2 linked regions of the Mus musculus genome follow. The protein of the gene in region 2 purifies or fractionates together with the protein of the main gene of each other region. This does not show direct contact. Links are inferred from orthologs where the notes say so. Each region holds a gene or a part of one and is shown on either strand. Other genes may lie near its edges.

Evidence for each region. Proteins that work in one complex are often made in the same cells at the same time.
Region 1: the proteins of Rab11a (region 2) and Wdr44 purify together in Homo sapiens (affinity purification with mass spectrometry; 3 studies listed by BioGRID and IntAct, counting the BioPlex papers as one, with this or other methods). This does not show direct contact. The link is inferred for Mus musculus from reciprocal best matches to the Homo sapiens genes RAB11A and WDR44.

Annotation. Positions count from the first base shown.
Region 1 is NC_000086.7:23,791,326-23,802,486, forward strand, and holds part of Wdr44 (WD repeat-containing protein 44), read left to right. Parts: intron 1-4,658; coding exon 4,659-4,781; intron 4,782-9,044; coding exon 9,045-9,236; intron 9,237-9,408; coding exon 9,409-9,510; intron 9,511-9,714; coding exon 9,715-9,830; intron 9,831-10,989; coding exon 10,990-11,117; intron 11,118-11,161. UniProt on the Homo sapiens protein: Downstream effector for Rab11 which regulates Rab11 intracellular membrane trafficking functions such as endocytic recycling, intracellular ciliogenesis and protein export.
Region 2 is NC_000075.6:64,721,135-64,732,295, reverse strand, and holds part of Rab11a (ras-related protein Rab-11A), read left to right. Parts: intron 1-3,866; coding exon 3,867-4,062; intron 4,063-5,478; coding exon 5,479-5,672; intron 5,673-6,713; coding exon 6,714-6,794; intron 6,795-11,161. UniProt on the Homo sapiens protein: The small GTPases Rab are key regulators of intracellular membrane trafficking, from the formation of transport vesicles to their fusion with membranes.

The sequences.
Region 1 (11,161 bases), on a different chromosome or scaffold from region 2:
GCTATGTAGTACTTCATTGTGTAAATGTACCACATTTTCTGTATTCATTCCTCTGTTGAGGGACATCTGGGTTCTTTCCAGTTCTGGCTATTATAAATAAGGCTGCTATGAACATAGTGGACCATGTGTCCTTATTACATGTTGGAGCATCTTCTGGGTATATGCCCAGGAGTGGTATTGCTGGATCTTCCGGTAGTACTATGTCCAATTTTCTGAGGAACCTTTGGCCATCTTTCTTAACTATACCATACCTAACCTGCAAAATAGCCATAACAAAAGTAGTTTCTTTGTAGAGTTAGAAGGAAAGACTGCGTGAGTACAAAGCACTTACCTAGGGCTAGAGAGATGCCTCAGCAGTTAAGAGCATTTGCTGCTTTTGCAGAGGACCTGCATTCCCATCACCACATGGTGGCTCACAACCACTTGTTCTTACAGATTCAGGGGATTCAACAGGCTCTTCTTGCCTCCATGGGTACCAGGTAGGCATGCAGTGCTCATACATTCATACCAGCAAAATACTCCTACACATAAAATAAATTCTTTTTAAAACACATCTACTTATCACACATTAAATGTTCAACTAACATTATCTGTGAGTAGGGCTAGTTTCCAACATCTGCATAGGACAGTTTACAGTTGCCTATGACTTTAGCTCCAAAGGGGTACCTCTTTTCTCCTACACTCACTCTCTCACACACACACACACACACACACACACACACACACACATACACAGTTAAAAATAAAGAATTAAAAACATGATCTATGAATGTGGCAGGTACTGAGGACAGCAAGTTTAAGTATTTTACATGTGTTCTTTGTGTTCAGTTGTTCAGTCAAAACATGTGAAGTTCCTAATATTCATCAAGGATTTGAAAAAGAAGATTTATATGCATTAAGGAACATGCTGACTTGCATCTAGCTAAGGAGTGGGAAGGACAATTTACAGTCTCATGTCTTCAGACCAGTATTCTCTATCCAATCCCCATGTCATAATAATAGTTCATCACCCTATAAGAGCTAGCACATAAAATTTCACAATGCTGAATACATTGCAAAGATTTAAGAAATCATAAATTCTTCCTTTCCTGCATTCTTTACAAATTTTGTAAGTCACAAAAGTATATTTAGTATCAGTCTATTTGCCTTATAATTGGTGATAGTTTGTAAGCTGGGACTTCCTGATTCTTTATATTATGCATACTAGTCATAAAAAGATAAAAAAAAAAGAGTATAATGCTTTGAAATTTTTTGTGGATGTTATTCACATTAATATGTGTATGTGTGTTTGTGTGCGTGTGTGTGCGTGTGTACGCGCGCCATATGCTCTCCTTAAATACATAAATACAGTCAGCTCAATATAATTTTACTTGTATGCTATGCTTTCTGTGCGTACTACTTGTTATTGAATAACTATTGTTATTGGTGTGCTTTTTTCTGGGAAAATCCTAACTTCTACTGTATTAATTACTTTCCTGTTGTTGTGAAGAAACACTATAACCAAGGAAAGTTAAAAAATAAAGCATTTAATTGTGGTCTTGCTTATAGTTTCAGAGAATGAGTCCATGATTATCATGGCAGCAGGCAGGAATAGAGAGGAGAACTGGGAATGGCATGAGCTTTTGAAACCTGATCCTCCTCTCCTCAGTGACATAGCTTTTTCAACAAAGCCACACCTCCTAATCCTTCCCAAACAATTTCACCAATTCTGGACCAGGAATTCAAATATTTGAACCTATAGGTTCCATTATTAGTCAAGCCACCAAAGATTTGTAGATCATAGATTCAAGAAGATTGTAAACCACTGAAGGATAGGATAGGGATCAAGACTTATTTTACTGTTATTTCTCTTCAGTGTCCATCAGAATCTGTTTGTAGTGAGCTTTCAACTTTCTAAGTACTTGTTTTAGGCACCTAACACAGTATTACATCATACAGTAAAAGTTTCATTTAGTAATGGTTCTTTCATTGTACAGATGAGAGCTCTGACTTCCATGATCCATCTAAGGATTATAAAACTAGTTATATTCAGAACTTCAGTTTGAATATACTTTATGTGACTCGAAAGTTCAATGCTTAGATTAAGAAATTATTTCAGGACTGGAGAAATGACTCAGCAGTTAATAACACTGGTGCTCTTCCCAAGGACCTAGATTCAATTCCTAGCACCCACATGATGCCTCACAAATATATGTTATAATTCCAGGGGATCCAGCACCCTCTTCTGACCTCTATAGGCACCACATATGCTTTTCATACACAGACATATATGCAGACAAAACACCCATTCACATAAAAAAATTAAAGAAATTAATTTCATTTAGTAAGAATGTATTAAACAAAAACTCTTGGCATAGTAAAATAGAATTGAACATGTGTTTAGCACTTTATACTTTAAGAATATAATCATCATATGCCCCAGTACAAGGGAATGCCAGGGCCAGGAAGCGGGAGTGGGTGGGGTGGGCAGCAGGGCAGGGGGAGAATATAGGCGACTTTCGCGATAGCATTTGAAATGTAAATGAGGAAAATATCTAATAATAAAAAGAATATATTCATATATTTCATATGCTTGAAGCAAGCACTGAATAAAGCCAAATTTTATTTTATTGAGCTTCTTTGGTTGGTTAGTTGACTTATTTGAGTGCTACCTCTGCTACTGAGCTATACACCTCAGCTCTAAAGAAGGGCAGTATTAAAGAGCATTGGGCCATAGGTTTAATGCCATTAATCAACGGAAAATTATGGTATAAACTTTATATGCTCATTAAAACTTTTCTGGAACAGGGTAATCTCTGAAAAATAATGATTATATTCCTCTCAGTGTCTATTAAAATGCTTCCAAATTCTGTCCCTCTTTTTCTCCTCTTTATTTCCGGATATTGGCAGTCAAACCTAGAGCCTTACAAGTTTTCTACCACTGATCTATTAACCCTAACAACCAGATTATTATTTCTTTTACAAAACAGAATCAAAACTTGTAACACAATGGTCTCAACCTTACAATGTTATAGCCTTTGCATCACAGATGATAAGATTAAAATTATTAGGTACCATGTGTGGCTCCAAAACTCTATATTTTAATAATAAGGTATAATATGTGTTTAAAAAATAGGTATTTTAAGTGTGTTTTGTAAAATAGCTCATATAGTTACATAGCTAAATCAGTATTTGCAATAAGTCTTTTTGGCTTATTTTATGATTTTGCAAATAGAGTCTCTTGTAGACAGGGTATCCTAAAACTTACTATGTAGCTAAGGATGTCTTTGAACTCCTGATTCTCCTGCCTCCACATCCCAAAGATTACAGCTATGAGCTGCCACACAGATAATGATTAAGTGTTCTTAATTAGTTTGTGCACATGACAAAGCATTTTAGTGCTTTTCTGTACTATGCAAAACATGGTTCTAGCCTAGAGTCAGACCACCTGCTCTTGAACCCGAGCTCTACCACTGACAGGTTGTGTAATCTTAGATCACTTATTTAAATGTTCTGAGCCTCAATATTATCATTTGTCAAAAAGGAAGATAATAGTATGTTTACTTCACAGAATTGTGTATAGTGCTAAGAACAAAACCTTTAGCAAATTGTATATACTCAATAAGTGTTATTACAACCTTGATTTGTTTGTCATATTTAGAAAAAAATTCTAGAGTCCCTTTGACTTTCCTCATTCCATGTAATATATAGTTCTCCCTTTAAATATTTGAGGTTTAGAAGTTATTGAGACTTTGCTAACCAGAAGCTTTTGATGGGTAGATGTTTGGTTTCAGGATAATTGAGCAAATACAATGCCTAAATCAGTTATGCTAACTCTTCTAGCTCAGAAAGCTCTGTGATGTATTCTGAGAAATTTGATATTTCCTATTCTCTAACTTTCTTGCCTAGAATCTGACAGGAGCACAATAACTTTTTATTTCTATGCTGTATTACAGAGTAATCTTTTAGAAGATATTAGGATCCATAGAATTCATCAGTGTTTTAACTGTAAAAAATAACTAAACTTAAATGATCAAGTTAATATCATATATTCATGGTTAAGCTTAAATATGTACAGGTTATACACCTAAGATACTCCTTAATCCTCTGCTAGTGCCTGACATTTTCTGTCATACATTTTAAGATTCATAGTATGCAGCAAGTAATGCTAAAATGTCTCAGAGTCAGTGAAATACATAAGACAATAATTTGAAAAAATTATTGTTTCAAATGAATTGAAATAGCCATGTTCTTTTTGAGACTTCATATCACAATAACATATATAAAGCTGAAAACTGCAAAAATAATTTTAAGCCTAGTTCAATTTTATTGTGTGAGTCATGTTTTCTTTTTTATTATTATTTTTATTTTTATTAGGTATTTTCTTCATTTACATTTCCGATGCTATCCCAAAAGTCCCCCATACCCTCCCCCATACTCCCCTATCCACCCACTCCCACTTCTTGGCCCTGGTGTTCCCCTGTACTGAGGCATATAAAGTTTGCAAGACCAAGGGGCCTCTCTTTCCACTGATGGCTGACTGGGCCATCTTCTGCTACATATGCAGCTAGAGACAAGAGCTCCGGGGGAGGGGGGGTACTGGTTTGTTCATATTGTTGTTCCATCTATATGTTTTCATATATACAGTAATAAAGTAACTGATATCATTTTTTCCATAGAACTACTTTCTGCTCTCTTCTTCTATGGATAAAACAGTCAGGTTATGGCACATTTCTAGAAGAGAATGCCTTTGCTGTTTTCAACATATAGATTTTGTCACTGCCATCGCTTTCCATCCAAGAGTAAGTAATCAGTTATCCACTCTTTGTTATGCTAAAAGGGAGATGAAGGAACTTGATTTCTATGAAGAACAGTTGAAACTATAGAATAAAAAAAGAACATTAGTAGCCACATAATTAAGAACAACTTAAATTAGTATTCCATTTTTCTTTAAAAATGGGAAAAGGGACTGGATGTTGTAGCACAAGCATTTATTCTCTGCACTGAGGAGGCTGAGGCATTTGGCTCTCTGAGTTTGAAGCCAGCCTAGTCAATATAGGAAGTTTAAAAGATCCAGAACTACCTTGAGAAAGCCTGTTTCAAAATATGGGAAAAGGGGCTGAGAGTATAGCTTAGGAGAATAATTACTTAACAAAAAGGAAGTCTTGGGTTCAATTGTAAGCGTTACAAAAACTGGTTTTGGTAACATATGGCTGTATTCACGGTTCTAGGAAGGTAGTAATTAAAGGATCAGAAGTTTAAGATCACTCTTGACAACAAAATGAGTTTGAGGCCAGTATAGGGTATAGAAGACCCTGTCAATCAACCATTCAGTGATTGAACAAGAAATATTCTCATAATTTGCATTACATGTGGGGGATTATGCTCTAAATGTAGTAAAAAGTTATCTCAAATCCTTAATAACACATGAAATATAAATAAATCATACTACTAAAGGTAAGAAATATTGGAGAGAGGAAAATAGCAGCTAAATATGGTACTGCATGCCTATAATCTCAGCTCTCTTGAAACTAAGTCAGAAGGCTCACTAGTTTGAGGATAGGCTGGACTGCAAGGCAAGACATGGTCTCTAAAAGGAGGAAGTGGTAGGTGTAAGAGAGTAAAGGTGCATACATAGGTGAGAACTGGGGAAAGGAAAGGTTGAGGAAGGAGAGTCCAAAAGACTGAAATGAGTAACAACCAAATTTCACTATATGATATCCCGATATTAATCATACTTTGTTAGTATGATTATTTTGTGCATATGTGTATGTATGTTTGGTTGTATGCATATATATGCACATGGAGGTGTATTTGCCATGTTTTTACTTGTGGAAGCTATAATCAACATTGGGTTATCTTCCTCTATCATACTCTAGCTTATTTTTAATAACCAATGAAAGTTTTATAATTTTATGTATATGGGAATTTTGCATGTATATCTGTTTACCATATGTGTGCCTGATAACATCTAAAGCCAGAGAGTGTGTCAGGTCCTTTGGATCTGGGGTTATAGATGCTAGTGATCCATGATGTGCATGCTGATAATTAAATCTTTGTCCTCTGATAGAGCTGCCAGTGGTCCTAACTGCTGCCACATCTCTAAGCTTTCTACCTTATTTTTTGTGAGTCTTGCTCACTGAACCTGGACGTCACTCTTCAGGCTAGACTTGCTAGCCAGCGAGCTCTCCAAAATCCCCTTGTTTTGTCCACTGACCCAGCACTTGGTTACAGATTTGAGCTGCCACACCCAGTATTTATATAGGTCCTGGGGGTCAGAACTCAGGTCCTCCTGCTTTGGTAGCAAGCATTTTACCCAAACAAGCCATCTCCCCAGCTTCTTAGTAACCTTAATCTTATTGTTTGTTTATTTTCTTTGAGATCAGGACTCTTGCTCTGGCTCACATCAAAATCTTGGTTTCAAGTGCTCATCTCAAGGCCTCAGCCCTTTGAGTAGTTAAGGCAGCATACATGTGTTGCTGATCCTAACTCACACTGTTGATCCTTTTTATTCATTCTTCAATCCTGCCATATCTACCCTTCCAAACAAAGTACTTCACTGGGTTTGAGAGTACTTGCTTGGAATTCCAGTAATCATTAGGTTGAGGCAGCATGATTAAGAATATGAGGCCTGACTGGTTTCCATTGTAAGTTTCAGAGTAATATGGACTATATAATGAAACTTGGTCTTGAAGCAAATAAAAAAAAACAGCAATTAATTTTATTTCATCAAAAGGTGAAAATACATGATATTATAGATGTCTTATGCCTTTATGGTATAGAGTCATAAATGTTTAAATCTCAATTAGTTTTGTTTTTCTGCAAATGGATGCACAAGGAAAAATATTCATTGATGCCACCATTACTGCCAGATTAAAATAAGTGGAGGACTTGAGCTGGGTCTAAATTGACTTTCTCTCTCATAGTCTGATGAGTGACTACCTTTTCAGTCAGATTGTCCATCCCTGTGTGTTTAATACCCATTATCTTTTTTAGTGCAACATTCAGTCATTTATGCATTCCTTTTTTTCTTCCGTCAAATTAGGAGAAATGTCTAACTTTTCCCCCTCAATATTGTGACAGTCCCTTGTCAAGCCTATATAATATAGGTAGTAATAATTCTAAGCTCTTAAAAGACTTAAGAAGACTTAATAATTAAAAATGTATAATCTGTGTTTGTACCTTATTAGTTTTGACCATCAAGCTAGTAAACTGTTCTTTCTAAATAGGGTGTTTATCCTTTCCGTTAAAGATAAAGACGGATGGACCTTAGTCATAGCACTAACTGACGGAAATCTCTCCACCTACTGAAGTAGCAGTAGAGAAAGGAAACACTAGCTTGTAATAGTCTTCTATATAGTATATTATTGAGGTCTCTCTCCAGTCAATTATTTTTTATAATTTTCTTTGAAAACCTAAAACTATAGTTCAAAAACCTCCACTGGTGTGAGGAGGTTTTTACGGGGACTAGGGAAGGAGAGAGCCATGTCAACATTTACTAGATAATGTGATTCTACTGCAGTGTTACCTGGAAAGAAAGTAGCAAAGTTGTAAACAAACGAAAAAAAAAATGAATTACTTAAATTGATAGGTAGATTGGAGACACAAGCTGATATTTAAATAAAATTTAAAATCTGAAGTCCAAAATAAAATACTTTTCACTTATTCAGCTTTTCTCATAGTTGCTAAGTATAATTTACTAAACCATAGCATCAAAATTGTCCATCACATAATATATATTATCAATAAAAGGCTTCAGTACTGATTGAGAAAAATTTCTTATATGAAGAAAGTATCCTGATTTTTAACATGTAATCCTTGTGTTTATGTGAGTGGTGGCTATAATATGTATGTGTACCCTCTCACCTTAGTTTTTGAGACTAGGTTTCTCACTGAACCTGAAGCTCAGCAATTTTGCTAGACTGGTTGGCCAGGTTGTTTTAGGGATCTTGCTATCTCTGCCACAGTACTAAAGTTACACATGTGTGCCATTATCATATACGTGGGTGCTGGGGATCCAAAGTCAAGTCCTCACACTTTACCAACTGAGTTCTCCCCCCATCCCCTACTATGCATTCATCACATTACCAACTGAGTGTTAAAACTAATTTAATTAAATTTAATTAAAATTAACTTAATTAAGTTTAATTAGTTAAGACTAAATCATCACGTTAACCCAGCTGAGTGTTAAGACTAGTTTACTCTGCAGAGGATCTTTCAACCTTGACTCTGTTGACATTCTTTGCTGTTGGATGAGCAATGAATGTTCTGTCTGTATATTGGAGCACTTTTATTTACATGGTAGAATCCTCCTGTAAACCAGACTATGGCAATCAAGAAACTCTGCTGACTTTGCAGTATGCCCAGCATGGGAGCAGTTCCTCAAGACATAGAGCTCTTGGTCTGCAATTCAGTATCAGAGTTCCTAAAAAGCAGGTTCAGTACATTGTGACTGGTGTTAGCCTTGTATCCCTGTGTTACACATGCTATGGAAACAAAAGCATACCCCCAAAAAGTTTAGGGTATTAAGGAAAGTTAATAAGGAAGGAAATTAGAAAGTTGCCACCCACTCTATCTCCCTTTTAGAGATTCAAAATACAGATCAACTGAGAATCCTGTTTTTAAGTTTTTGCACTCCAAATTTTCTTAAACTTAATTTATTGTAGACATTATTTCATGTGATGCTTAATAAAACAATTATATTAACATTCATATCTTAGAAAAGCAGTTTGAAAATATGATGAAATAGTTCAATGTCTTTTTTTTTAACATGAAAGATGGCATGTGTAATTGTTGTAATTTTTAGTACACAAAATGATGCTAGCTGAAAGACTAAAATGTTGTGGCTACATGCAAATGTATCTCACTGAGAGCACTTGCTTTCATGTGTGAGGCCACGACTTGACTCCCTAGTATGCAGCCTTCAAAATGAAAAGAAAATAACAGCAACAAAGACTTTTCGAATAAGATTTCCTTGTAGAACATTGGTTTTAATCACTTGATGTGTTAATTAGCTAAATTTTCCCTGATGTGACAATAAAAGCATTTTCTTGCCACCTTTTTAGGATGACAGATATTTTCTCAGTGGATCATTGGATGGAAAGCTCCGCCTATGGAACATACCTGACAAAAAGGTGGCTTTATGGAATGAAGTAGATGGTCAGACAAAGTTGATCACAGCTGCCAATTTTTGTCAGAATGGCAAATATGCAGTAATTGGGACATATGATGGTAGATGTATTTTCTATGATACAGAGGTAAGACCCTTTAGGTTTTATAAAATTTATTTATATCCTATTTATACCATCTGGAGACTTTAATTGCTTTATCTGTAAAATCAGGCAAAAATGCTAATATCTGAGGCTCAGAACAAATGATCTTTGAGGTTTCTTCTAATTCTGGTATTTTTAATTTATTATTTTGCTTTAGCATTTGAAATACCATACACAAATACATGTACGATCTACTAGAGGACGCAACAAGGTTGGAAGAAAAATTACTGGCATTGAACCTTTACCTGGAGAAAATAAGGTACCATATAGTATTCCAAACCATCTCTCTCCACACTGGTATGGATTTTTGAAAGTTAGTTTTAAAACTGGGAAGAAAATGGGGGTAATATTGCTGTTTGTAGTTCTGATATTTACTTGATTTGTGTATAACATCCTTTTGGTGTTATGGCTTAATTTACACTAAAAAGTGATATTTTTAACTTTGCTTTTGGTTTACTTTTAGATACTGGTAACCTCAAATGACTCCAGAATCAGACTGTATGATCTGAGAGACCTATCACTGTCCATGAAGTATAAGGGTTATGTCAATAGCAGCAGCCAGATCAAAGCAAGTTTCAGGTAAATTGGCACTAAGAAATTCCCAAAGGTATGGTGCTCCTCAATTTTTATTATATGAGGTTCTTAAGTCTTTACATTTTTTTTTAAAGATTTATTTATTTATTACATGTAAGTACACTGTAGCTGTCTTCAGACCCTCCAGAAGAGGGAGTCAGATCTCATTACGGATGGTTGTGAGCCACCATGTGGTTGCTGGGATTTGAACTTCGGACCTTCGGAAGAGCAGTCAGGTGCTCTTACCCACTGAGCCATCTCACCAGCCCCAAGTCTTTACATTTTTATAACTGATATCACACAATATCTTCATCATACATTGCTTACTTTGTCTACCTGGTAGGTGAGAAAACTCCCTGTTTTACAAATAAAGAAACCAAAACACAGAACATTAAATAATTGACCTAGAATCATAGTTGTGAGAGACATGCTTAGAAGATTTTTAGCTCCAGAATGTTTGCTTTTAACTTTTGTGTAAATCTTTAAGAGACATGCCACCCCACAACCACTACCACACATATTGTCTTGATCCCTTTGGTGTAGGAGCTAAGAAAACATTTTATAACCCATAAAGCAAAGTACCATGTCATTACACCTTTGCTTATCATTATTTGAACTCTTAATTTGGGATCTAAATTCTCCCAAGTAGGATTAGCTGCCTAGCTTTTCTTCTCAAAAATTCATTATTTTCTTCTTGAAGTACCCAGTAATTACCCAGCCATTTAATTGGCTTCTTCTGCTCTCCTTTAAGTCACTAGTTCTAGAATGGATTAACCAACATCACAGTTGCCAGGGCTTTGATGAAAATTCTAAAGCTAATAGAGTCTTGGTTAGCATCATGAGGCTCTGGGTTGGGTCTGTAGCATTAAAAATGTCCAAAATGTAAACAATAGGTAACACCCCTATGTCTGAAAAGATTATCCTGGTTATCTCCAGAGAGAGTATATTCATTATAACAGTGTTCTAACAAATGTGTAGCAATAAGCAAACATCAAAACAGCCTGGCTATGCATCAAACCAAATTCAGAATCCAGAATCCAGAATAAGGATTTAATTCTCAACAATCTGACTCAGGTGTTACTGTGGATATCTTAAATTAGCACTGATAGAAGGAAACCTTAATTTTTTTTCTGTTTATTTTTTGACCTTTCCTGCTCAAATACAGTCATGACTTTACTTACCTCGTTAGCGGTTCAGAAGATAAATATGTTTATATCTGGAGTACGTACCATGACCTAAGCAAGTTTACTTCAGTCAGGAGAGATCGTAATGACTTCTGGGAAGGTATTAAAGGTAAGCAAATGCAGCTTACATATATATGTGCCTTATTATAAAGG
Region 2 (11,161 bases):
ACTTGTTACTCTTGCAGAGAGAACCTCACCCCAGTTCCAGGTGACATAGCAGGCATGAATGTTATGTACATATATGCATGTAGACAAAGCATTCACACACATAAAGTAAAATAAAAAACAAAACTCCAAAATATAAGAATGGCTAATTTTTTAAAAACAGAACAGAGTGTGACTTAGTGCTGTAGCATCTGTGGGAGTGTACCCTGCTCTTTGAAGGTGTCCCCACCACAGGATGCTGTTACCCAGGTGCCATGCTCACCTTTGCTTTTTTACTTTAGATTGTGAGTGGTTCTGAATTACTATTTGAAACTGGAGTGTCTGTGAATTAATTAGATGTTCTAATCTTTAGTTTTTTCTTTCTGCACTGTTTCATACCTCAAGTGATTGCTGATGCTAGTGTGTGACCAGAAGTGATTGAAAGGAGATTTCCTCAGCAGATTATCCAGTCTTCTTCCTCTCCAAATCATATTTATTTATTTAAGGTTTTTTTTTTTCTTTTTTGGGAGGTGGGGGGCTCATGCCATGGTGTTTATGGATAGAAGTCTAAGACAATTGAAGGGATGGATTTTCTTTCTACTGTGTGGGTCCATGGGATTGAACTCAGGTCTTTAAGTTTGGCAGTAATTGCCTCTACCAGTGAACCGTCTTTCAGGCCTAAGTTTCTGTATTCTTGTTGTGACTGAGGATTTCTATTCAGGAAAGGTGAAGGAAGTTTTGGGAGAAGCCCAGACTAGGTTCTTGGCTGGGACCCTCTCCCTGTTCCCACCCAGGAGTTGTGATCTGACCATTTAACCTCCTATACTAAGAATGAACAGTGAATGTATCTCAATAAGGAGGCGCTATTAATGTTGCTGGGATTCAACTTCACATCTACAGTAGTGGAGTTTGGAAACCAGCCTACTAATCTGTTTTCATGACCTTGACATCATTTTCCCTGGTATCCAGTAAAAGTATTTAATGTCTGTTTGCTAGTGTACTCTCTGACTACAAAGACAGAATTATCTTCTTTGTTACATGGAGTCACTGCTGCTGGGATTTCTTGCTGAATCAGCTGATACAGGAAGCCAGAAAGATATGCATTTGATAATGCATGGTTGTTCTAGGGCGAGCTGTGTGTACTTCTGTAACAAGAAAGGTGTACTCTCTTTTCCTTTGGCTGGAGTGCAGTCAGCCTCCTTTCTGCGTGCACCATCAAATCCCAATCTTTTGAGTAAAACATGGCTTATTAGTCTGTGACCTTAACCCTGCTGTTGATTTTTCTAGTCTGATGCCTAAATCAATTAGCTACATAAAAAGTATTACTAGTCAACAGTAGAAATAAATACAGTGTTCACTAAAATACCTACAAAAATTTATGCAGGGAAAAAAATGTTAGCTGGCTTAGATTCTGTAAACCTCCAACCCCATTTTGATCTTTAAATTTATGTTTTAACCCAACTTATCTGAAGTTGGGCACAATGACACACACCTATAATCTTAGCATTCAGGAAGCTGAAGTAAGAGAGTTTTGTGCGTTCTAGACCAACCTGGGTTCCAAATTGAGACCCTCCCTTAAAACAAACAACTTGTTTTTCAGTTTCCTGTCTCGACCAACTTACCCCCATCCCCTCTCCTTGAGAGACAGTGTTTCTCTGTGTAGCTCTACTTCTCTTGGATCTCATTCCTGTAGACCACACTGGCCTCAAACTCAGAGATCCACCTGCCTCTGCCTCCCAAGAGCTAGGATTAAAGGTGTGTGCCACTGGCTCTGTTTCTTGTTGTTGTTCTGTTTTGATACTGGATCTCACTTTGTAGCTCTTATTGGCCTAGAACTCTGTGTAGACCAAATTGGCCTTGAACCCTGAAAGATCTGCCAACCTCTGCCTTCTAAAAGTACACTATGAAGTACACTTCTAAAAGAAGTACACCATGGCTGACTCTGAAAATTTTAATGTGTGTGGGTGATTTGGTCTACAGTAATGTCTGTTAACTACTTGTATGTAGTACAGGCAGAGGCCAGAAAGGGACATCAGATTCTGGAACTGAATTACAAACTGTTGTCTGGAGTTAAAGTATTGAAAGCTACCTCTGGGTACAAGGACTCAAACCTGGGTCCTTAGAAGAATAACCAGTGTTCATAACCATTGAGCCATCTCTCCAGCCCATGAAATTCCCCCTCCCTTTTTAAAAATTTTCTTAATTGCATTGATTGGAACTGGAGAGGTGACTTAGTGGTTAAGAACTGGCTGCTCTTAGAGAGGACCCAGTTCAGTTTCCAGCACCTATATTTGGCTGTTCACTACTGTCTGTAACTCCAGCTCTCTTCTCTTCTGGCTCATATACATAGCATTCGTACTCATGTTTATAAACATGGAAAATTATATTCATTCACTTGTGTGAGCTCTGTAGTAGTATATATTTAATCTCAGTTGTGGGTTTCTACCCTGCCTTAGATCATTTAATTCCCAGATAAAAGACACAAAATTTTTATATTTATAATAAGCCTTTAATGAACTAGAGCTGGTCAGATATCTACCCTCTATGCTATTAAAATCTACTTCCCTGTCAATAACCTTGAGTTAAAACTTGTCATGTTCCACCTGGGCAGCTCTTAACTCCAATTGGTCAGCTCTTGTGGTCATGTTTTCATGACTCACCTATCCCGTGGCATGTTCTCTCTCCTAATTGTCTCTCCTCAGACCCCAAGCCTTGGGGCATCTTTATTCACCAATCAGGAATAACTTGGGTGGCAAGGTTATATAGCATCGCTTGGGTCTACACCTCATCCCTAAGGGCAACCAGGACCAGTATTTAGTATTATAATACATAGCAATAGACCAAACCTCAGCTGAGTTCTGTGCACAAGTGGAGTGTATGCGTCCCAGAGATGGATCTCTGTTCCTCAGGTTTGGAGGCAAGTGCCTTTATTTGCTAAGTCATCTCACCAGCTCTATTTGAAGAGTTTCAAAGTAGAGTAACACTTGAGATGAGAAGTTACTTGTAAATAAACTGCCATCTTTTATAAAAACCACAGGAAGCAGGTATAATCAAAATTTGTTTTGAAAAAAAAAAAAAACTTTTTAAAGTCCTAAGTCAAAGTGTTTGTCTTCCTTGCTTTGGCTTTGACTCAGTGTGTCAGAATTGTTAACTTCCTAGGGCTCCTGTTTGTAGTAAGGTTGGGCGCCCTCGTGCTTTCTGCCAGTCTGAACTGTAACTATTAAAGATGATTGTAGTTTCTATGAGCAGAGCAGCAAAGCTTGTAAGCCTCGTGCCTCCTGTTTTAAATGTGTTTCAGCTCTCTATCACCCCCAGTCTTTCATGACAGTAGTAGAACACACACACTTTCCTACTCCATGCGCTGACATCTTTTGTTTGATGTCTAACACATGAAAATCACAAGTCGATATTTACTTTTCAGAATGCTTTCTAAGGTAGTGAGGTTGGTATAAGTTAAAGGTAATTGGTGTTTGAATTGATGACTACAGTATTCTATGATTAAAATTGCAAAATTGCATTTTTAAGGGCTGGGGATATAGCTCAGTTGTCAGTTGTTTAGCTACCTTACATGAGTAGGGCACTGGGTGTGAGTTCCTAAATAGGAATAAAAGAGGGGGATGTTTTTTAGATGGGGTGCTATATCTGATCTGTGCTAAGTAGATGATGTGCGAAAGTCATTATGCAGACAGAAATAGATTACTAAGAGTAAGTGATTGGTTTAAATTGATTAGTCATGGATGTAAACTATTCAGTACTATGCTTCTGTCTCTTTAAAAATCCTTGGTTGTATTTATTTTGAAGCCAAACATCCTCCTGTTAAGTATGCTGGTATTTTGAATGTGTGTGCCTTCATCCAGCTTATACTATTTATTTATTTTTTGTCTTTTTAGTTGTCCTTATTGGAGATTCTGGTGTTGGAAAGAGTAACCTCCTGTCTCGATTTACTCGAAATGAGTTTAATCTGGAAAGCAAGAGTACCATTGGAGTAGAGTTTGCAACAAGAAGCATCCAGGTTGATGGGAAAACAATAAAGGCACAGATATGGGACACAGCAGGGCAGGAGCGGTACAGGGCTATAACGTCTGCGTAAGTTCATGGTTTTCAGTTCTGGAATAGGTTGGTATCAAGTGAATTGCTGAGTTTAGGTACTGGGAAGAAACGGTAGTCCTCCCTTAACCTTGCAAGATGTTCCAAGACCTTCCTTCAATGCCTACAACCACAGATTGTACTAAACCCTCTGTTTCTCTCTCTTAAAATTCATCTTATTTTTATTCATGTTTTGCCTGTATATGTGTATGTGTACCATGTTCATGCTTAGTACACATGGAGGTAAGAAGATGGTATCCGATCCATTGAAAGTATAGTTACAAATGGTTGTGAACCACTGTGTAGATGCTAGAAAACAAACCTGGGTCCTCTACAGCAGCAGCAAGTACTCTCAACTGCTGAGCCATCTTTCCAGCATCTTGTATCTTTTCTCTTAATAGACCCTTTTTTCTTTGTCATGTCATAATTGCTTTGGGGGGCTATTATTAAATAAACTAAGGGTTACTTGAACACAGAAAAGACCATAAATAATGGCAGAGCTACAAAGTGACTTTAACAGGCAGGTAGTTTATATAGTGTGTGGGTACATTGGACAAAAGAATGAATCATGTGCTGGCCTGGATGAAGGGGAAAACTGAGGAGTTTGTCATGATACTTAAAATGGTGGCAATTTAAAGCTTATGAATTATTTATTATTATTTCCCATTTAATATTTTTGGCCTGTGGATGACTAGGTATAAAACCTCATATAAGGGATGACTACTATCTGCCATATCTGGTGTGTGTGTGTGTGTGTGTGTGTGTGTGTGTGTGTGTGTACGTACCTGGTCTCACTTTGTAGCATGGTACTCATTATGTAGCCCAGGCAGGCCTCAGACCTCCAGCACCCAGGACAGTTATGTGGCACCACCCCTCATGTGATAACTAGGAATTTTCAGAAATTTATTTACAAGTTTGTATTATTGTTTTTAAAAATCTCTTTGTGTGTGTGTTTGTGTGTGTCCCTGAGGATGAGCATATGAGAGAATGTAGAGGGTGTTTGTGTTAGTGTGTATGTCTGTGTATTCTTGCTGTGTAGATAGAGGTCAGAGGACAGACAACCTTGGATGTTGGTCCTCACACTTGTGAGGTCCTACCTTGTTTGAGATAGGCAGTATTTGTTGTTCAGTGCTGTTTATGCCAGGATACCTGGCCTGAGAACGTCTGGGATTCTCCTGTTTCAGCCCCCAACTCCCTTATATCACAGTAGGAGGACCAGGATTGCTGAGTGCTACCATGTCAGCTTTTTCATGGATTCTGGGGATTTTTAACACCCAAGCAGATCTTCATGCTGGATGGCAAGTGTTTCCGCCACAGAGCCATCTCTCTAGCCCTATACCATCACCTTTTGTGTTCTTTCTGGTATTCATTTCTACTTTTTGATTGTCTTCTGATAGTTATATGTTTCTGTTGCAGATACTATCGTGGAGCAGTAGGTGCCTTATTGGTTTATGACATTGCTAAGCATCTCACATATGAAAATGTAGAGCGATGGCTGAAAGAACTGAGAGATCATGCTGATAGTAACATTGTTATCATGCTTGTGGGCAATAAGAGTGATTTACGTCATCTCAGGGCAGTTCCTACAGATGAAGCAAGAGCTTTTGCAGGTTAGTGATATAAACTCCACAGTATTACAGTGCTTCTGCATTTCTGTTTGAACATTACACCTCTCTTCTTTAGCAATGTTCTATGTGAGTCTGAAAAGTAGTATGTCAAGGAGTGTCGAAGACTGACAAGGATGCTTAGAAGTTGAGCACTTTGCGCTTCATATAGGATCTGCTTATTTCTAGCTGCCCTTCTGGTAGGGGAAACTACCAGAAGAAAGCAGCGCTGCATCTGCTAAGAAGTCATGATGTTGTATTAGTGAAAGGATTGTGAGTATTTTCCTCTAACTTAAAATTTTCAAATTGAATAGACTTCTAAGTGAGTGTGTTTTTAGCTATATAGTTGCTAGGGAGGATGGTTAGGGGTGGAAATAGTGGGACGTTTGATAAGTTAACTAAATTCTGAATAGTCTCACTCATTGTTATTGGTGGTATTTATATGCAGAAGTAATTACAAGGGAGCGAAAATTTCTTACTGTTACTTTTAACTTACTGAAGTAAAAGTAAAATATTGTCTATATATTACGCCAGAAGTTGGTACCATTTAGAGGTTTTTGTTTGGTAGTTTGAAATACTTTCTCATGTATCTTTCAGATAGTCTCATGACTATCTGAAGAATAGTCTCAGGCTGGTCTTGAATTCTTGGCCATGCTGAACTAAGTCTTAGTCTTTTATCTTCCCTTTTGTGATTGTAAGCTTATCACATCTTCTGTTTTAAAACTTGGAGAAAGCCGGGCAGTGGTGGTGCATGCCTTTAATACCAGCCCTCTGGAGGCAGAGGCAGGCAGATTTCTGTAAATTCCAGGCCAGTCTAATATACAAAGGAGTTTTAGGACAGCCAAGGCTACACAAAGAAATCCTGTCTTGAAAAGCCAAAAAACCAACAACTACCACCAAAAAACACCTTATGGAAAGTTGGGGAGGTAGGTCTGTGGTAGAGGGCTTGGCTGGCATTGGGGAGGCCCTGGATTAGATCACCAATCACCAACACTATTAAACAGCAATCAAAATTTACCAGACTGAAAATTTTGTTTCTTTTTACAGAGAAGAATGGTTTGTCATTCATTGAGACATCTGCTCTAGATTCTACAAATGTTGAAGCTGCTTTTCAGACAATTCTAACAGGTGAGACCTGTGTTTTCGGTTACACCAATGGGAACTGGAGTTTTAGGAAGTGAGTTAAACTAATTAGGAAATTGTTATGCCACCTGAAAATGACTATCATTAGAGAGCAACTGTAGTATAAATTCCTTGATGTGTAGAGTTACAGTTTTTGCAGGTTGCACTTCAGTCATGTGAATTCATCTGGGGAAAAATTCTTTGAAAGTAATTTGTTCATTTCCTTGTGTTCAGGCAATGTAGTCTATACCTCATAGTCAAAGGGACAGTTACATGTTCTTATGTATGTTCTTCTCTTTTTAAAATGCACTTTCATTACGTAAATACTGAGATCCTGACTATAGAAAGATATAAATGCCTTTTGAAGTTAGAAATTGGCTGGAGAGGTGGCTTGGCATTTAAGGGTACCTTCCGTTCTTCCCAAGCACCCGAGTTTTGTTCCCAGCACCCATGCGGGGTGGCTCACAACTGCCTATAGCTCTAGCTTCAGAGGATCCCAACGCTGGTACCAGTACACATGTGACAGACACACATGCACACACAAAAAAATCTTAAAAAAAGAAATTTGAAAAGCCTAGGGAAATTACATCAAAAGTTTTAAGTGAAAAGAAGAAAGCACAGATAGTTGTTCTGAGTTAACAGGAGTGTGCTCCTTGCAAAGACAGTCAGCCCAGCCTGCATATGGAAAGGGTTAAATGAGTACAAGGAACCGACAAAGTTCATGCTGTTTTGGAATGTGAGTAACCAGGTCAGCTTCTTGAAAAAGAAGACATTTTATTTCTTCAGACTCATATTTACTTTGGTTTTATTAGAATAACCAAATTATAAGTACATTTAATCTATTAAGAAGCACTTTCATAGATTGTTTTTCAATAGACCTAAATTATGTGTTACTTTTAAGAACTTATGAATTAGAATCTAATCAACACAAAGTAGAGTCTTATGTGGTGTTCTGATAAATTGTTATATAGAATTGTTTAGTTTCCTATTGTAATGTAATAAGTTTTAATGCTGTATGTAGCACTTATATTAGAGATGACCAGAATTTTAACTCTTAAAGTATTCTTTTATTGTTTAAAAGAAAAGTGTGTGTAATAAGCCTAGGGATTTAGATCATGAAGTGGAAAGCCTGATTCTTCCACTTATTTTTGGAGCTATAATCTTGAGCAAGTTACTTACTCTTTCAAAGGCTTTAATTTCTTCATCTGTAAAATTTGGATATATGTTGGGTTGGAGAAATGGCTCAGCAGTTGGGAGTACATATTTTTCTAGAGGACTGGAGTTTGATTCCCAGTACTTATGCCAGACTGCTTATAACCACCTGTAGCTCCAGCTCCAGGGGATCTAACACCCTCTTCTGGCATCTACATATACATGAGAACAAACACATAGATATACACATAATATAAAATAAACAGAGTTTCTCATACATTTTGGTTAGTTACTGTTTTCTTCGTGAAAGAACTTGTACTTTTAAATTACAGGAGTATGGTTTGATACGGCATGATTTAATTTGTTATTGCTAGTTAGGGGCTTTGTTGTTGTTTTGTTTGTTTTATCTTTATTCCACAGAAAAGAGTGCTCTGTCACTGATACTTTAGTAGTTCCCAAAAATATATGAGTTAATGCCTGTCAAGGGCTTAGCTCTTCCTGGGACATAGCAAACATTTGATAAATCAGTATTTAAGTAGTAATTAAGGAAAAACAACATGTTAAAATACATAGAAAAAAACCAATTTTTAAAAATAATATAAATATTGGTGATTTGCATGTACTTTATTAAAAACTTTTTTTTTTTTGTTTGATTTGTGTCTTAGTTGGGGTTTCTATTGCTGCAATGTAACATTGCGGCCAAAAAGCAAGTTGGAGAGGAAAAGTTTTATTTAGCGTACACTTCCAGATCATAGTCCATCATTGGAGGAAGTCAGGGCAGGAACTCGGGGGTTGGAACCTAGAGCCAGGAGCTGAGGAGGGCTTCTGCTTGCTGGCTTGCTTCACTTAGCTTACTTAGCCTGCTAAGTTATAGAACCCAGGACCACCAGCCCAGGGATGGCACCACCCACAATAGGCTGGGCCTTCCCCCATTGATCACTAATTGAGAAAATGCCTTACAGATGGATCTCATAGAGGCATTTTTCTCAACTGAGGCTCCTTCCTTTGATTATTCTAGCTTGTGTTAAGTTGGCACACAAAACCAGCCAATACACGTTAGCTTTGTTTTGTTTTGTTTTGTTTTGTTTTGAGATAGGGTTTTTCTGTGTATTCCTGGCTGTCCTGTAACTTGCTCTGTAGACCAGGCTGGCCTGGAACTCAGAGATCTATCTGCCTCTGCCTCTGGAATGCTGAGATTAAAGGCATGCACCACCATTGTCAGCATAAAATTGTTTTTGTTAACTGAAGAATAGTCACTACGGCTGGAGGGGAATAGACAGCTTGTGGCACTGGCAGCTTTTTTAAAAGATTTTTTCTGAGTGATCTCGCTGCAGATAGTTTTAAGCTTGCAATATTTTGTTGAATATACAGTATGCCTACAAGTCCTACTTTCTTTTTGTTTTCCACTGTGTAGGGTAGGCCAGGCTTGAGCATTCAGGGACCCACCTGCCCCTGCTTTGGGAGTGCTGAGAAGAAAAGCATGTGCTACTATACCTGGCCTAATTTTTAATCTTTTTAAAATCACATTTTTTTATTCATTTATATAAGGTATGGGGTTATAGTATTTATAGTGTGGTAGCCAAAGGACAGCGCCTTTTAGCATGTGGGTCATGGGGCAAGTACTCAGGTCATCAGGCCTGGTGGCAGCTTCCTTTGTTCATGGAGCTAAAATGTAAGATTATTGGAAATATTGTGCAGTAGATCCACACTTTGTTCATATCTGAGTAGTCTGATTTGTCTGGTGGTGCTTTTAAAAGTAGTTCACTAGTAGCAAGGTGGGCTGATGGGTTGCTTCAGTCCTGCCTTCCAGTGCAGCTTTGTTTTTTCCATCTCAAGTTCACCAGGAGTTGTGTCGGGGAGGGGCAAACTGTTAGGGATCCAACTCTGTCTTTTCTTAATCTTTTTTTTTTAAAGATTTATTTTATGCATGAGTACACCACCATTGCTGTCTTCAGACACACCAGAAGAGGGTGTCAGACCCTATTACAGATGATTGTGAGCCACCGTGTTGTTGCTGGGAATTGAACTCAGGACCTCTGGAAGAGTAGTTGGTGCTCTTAACCACTGAGCCATCTCTCCAGCCACTGACTATGTCTTGAGCATGTCAGGCAAGCTCTATCCCAGCTGAGTTTCATCCCTAAGAGATGTTTTTAATCACTGTTTTCCATGCCTCTTTTCATTTTAACTTTGTATTTTGGCAATTTCAGAGTTGATTAAATCTTACAGTAATAATATAAAGAATTTGTGAGAACCTTAACACCCCATTTCCTTAAGTATTAGTGTCTTTTTTCTGTCCATTTACCTTTCCCTTCCCAACAAAGACACACACACACACACACACACACACACACACACAGTGTCACACACACACACTATATGCAAATGCAAGTAAGTACTCTGCATACTACCCTTATCCCTAAGTCTTTTGTTGTTGTTGTTGCTTATTTACTAGAAACAAGTACTTTCTCTTTTATAACCATAACACAGTGATTTAAATCAATAGTATAATAATAGCACATCAGTCTTTAGCTACAAATCTTACTCAGATTTTGCCAGTAATTTCAATTAATAATAAGAAGGAAAAAGCCTGGAATCATAGCATATGTGCTATTTAGCTGTCTTGTCACTGCTTGACAATAGTTCCTTTAATTTTTCCTTTTTCATCATCCTTAGTATTTTTAAGAGATCTAGGTCAGCTGTCATTTCTCAGATTGAGTTTTATCCAGTGTTTCCTTGTGATTAAATGCAGGTGTATAGCTTGTGGCCTGAATGCCATAAAGGTGGTTCAACTCATCATACAAGAGGCTCATGATGTGTTTGTCTTAGCCACTGGTACTTCTAACTTTGAACTTTAGTTCAGGTGCTTTTAGCCAGATTTCTCCATGTAATTAGTAAATTCGAGGTAAATTTCTAAATTGAAGACTAAACTCTTAATTCTATGGCTGAGATAATTTTAATTAAGGTAACACACTGGTTCTTTAAAGCCAGTTTGGTGGTACACACACATCTGTTAATCCTGGTACTTGGTGGACTGTATGTGCCCGGACCATATAACAAGACCCTGTCTCAAAATAAATAAAAACAAAGGCGCTAAAGTTGCCAGGTATTAACTTCATAAGAATATGGAGAATTATTAGAAGTTTTAATATTACATTTTAACTTGTTTCTGTTGCATGCATGTGTATATGTATGTGGGCACAGAGTGGAGGACAGAGGACAAA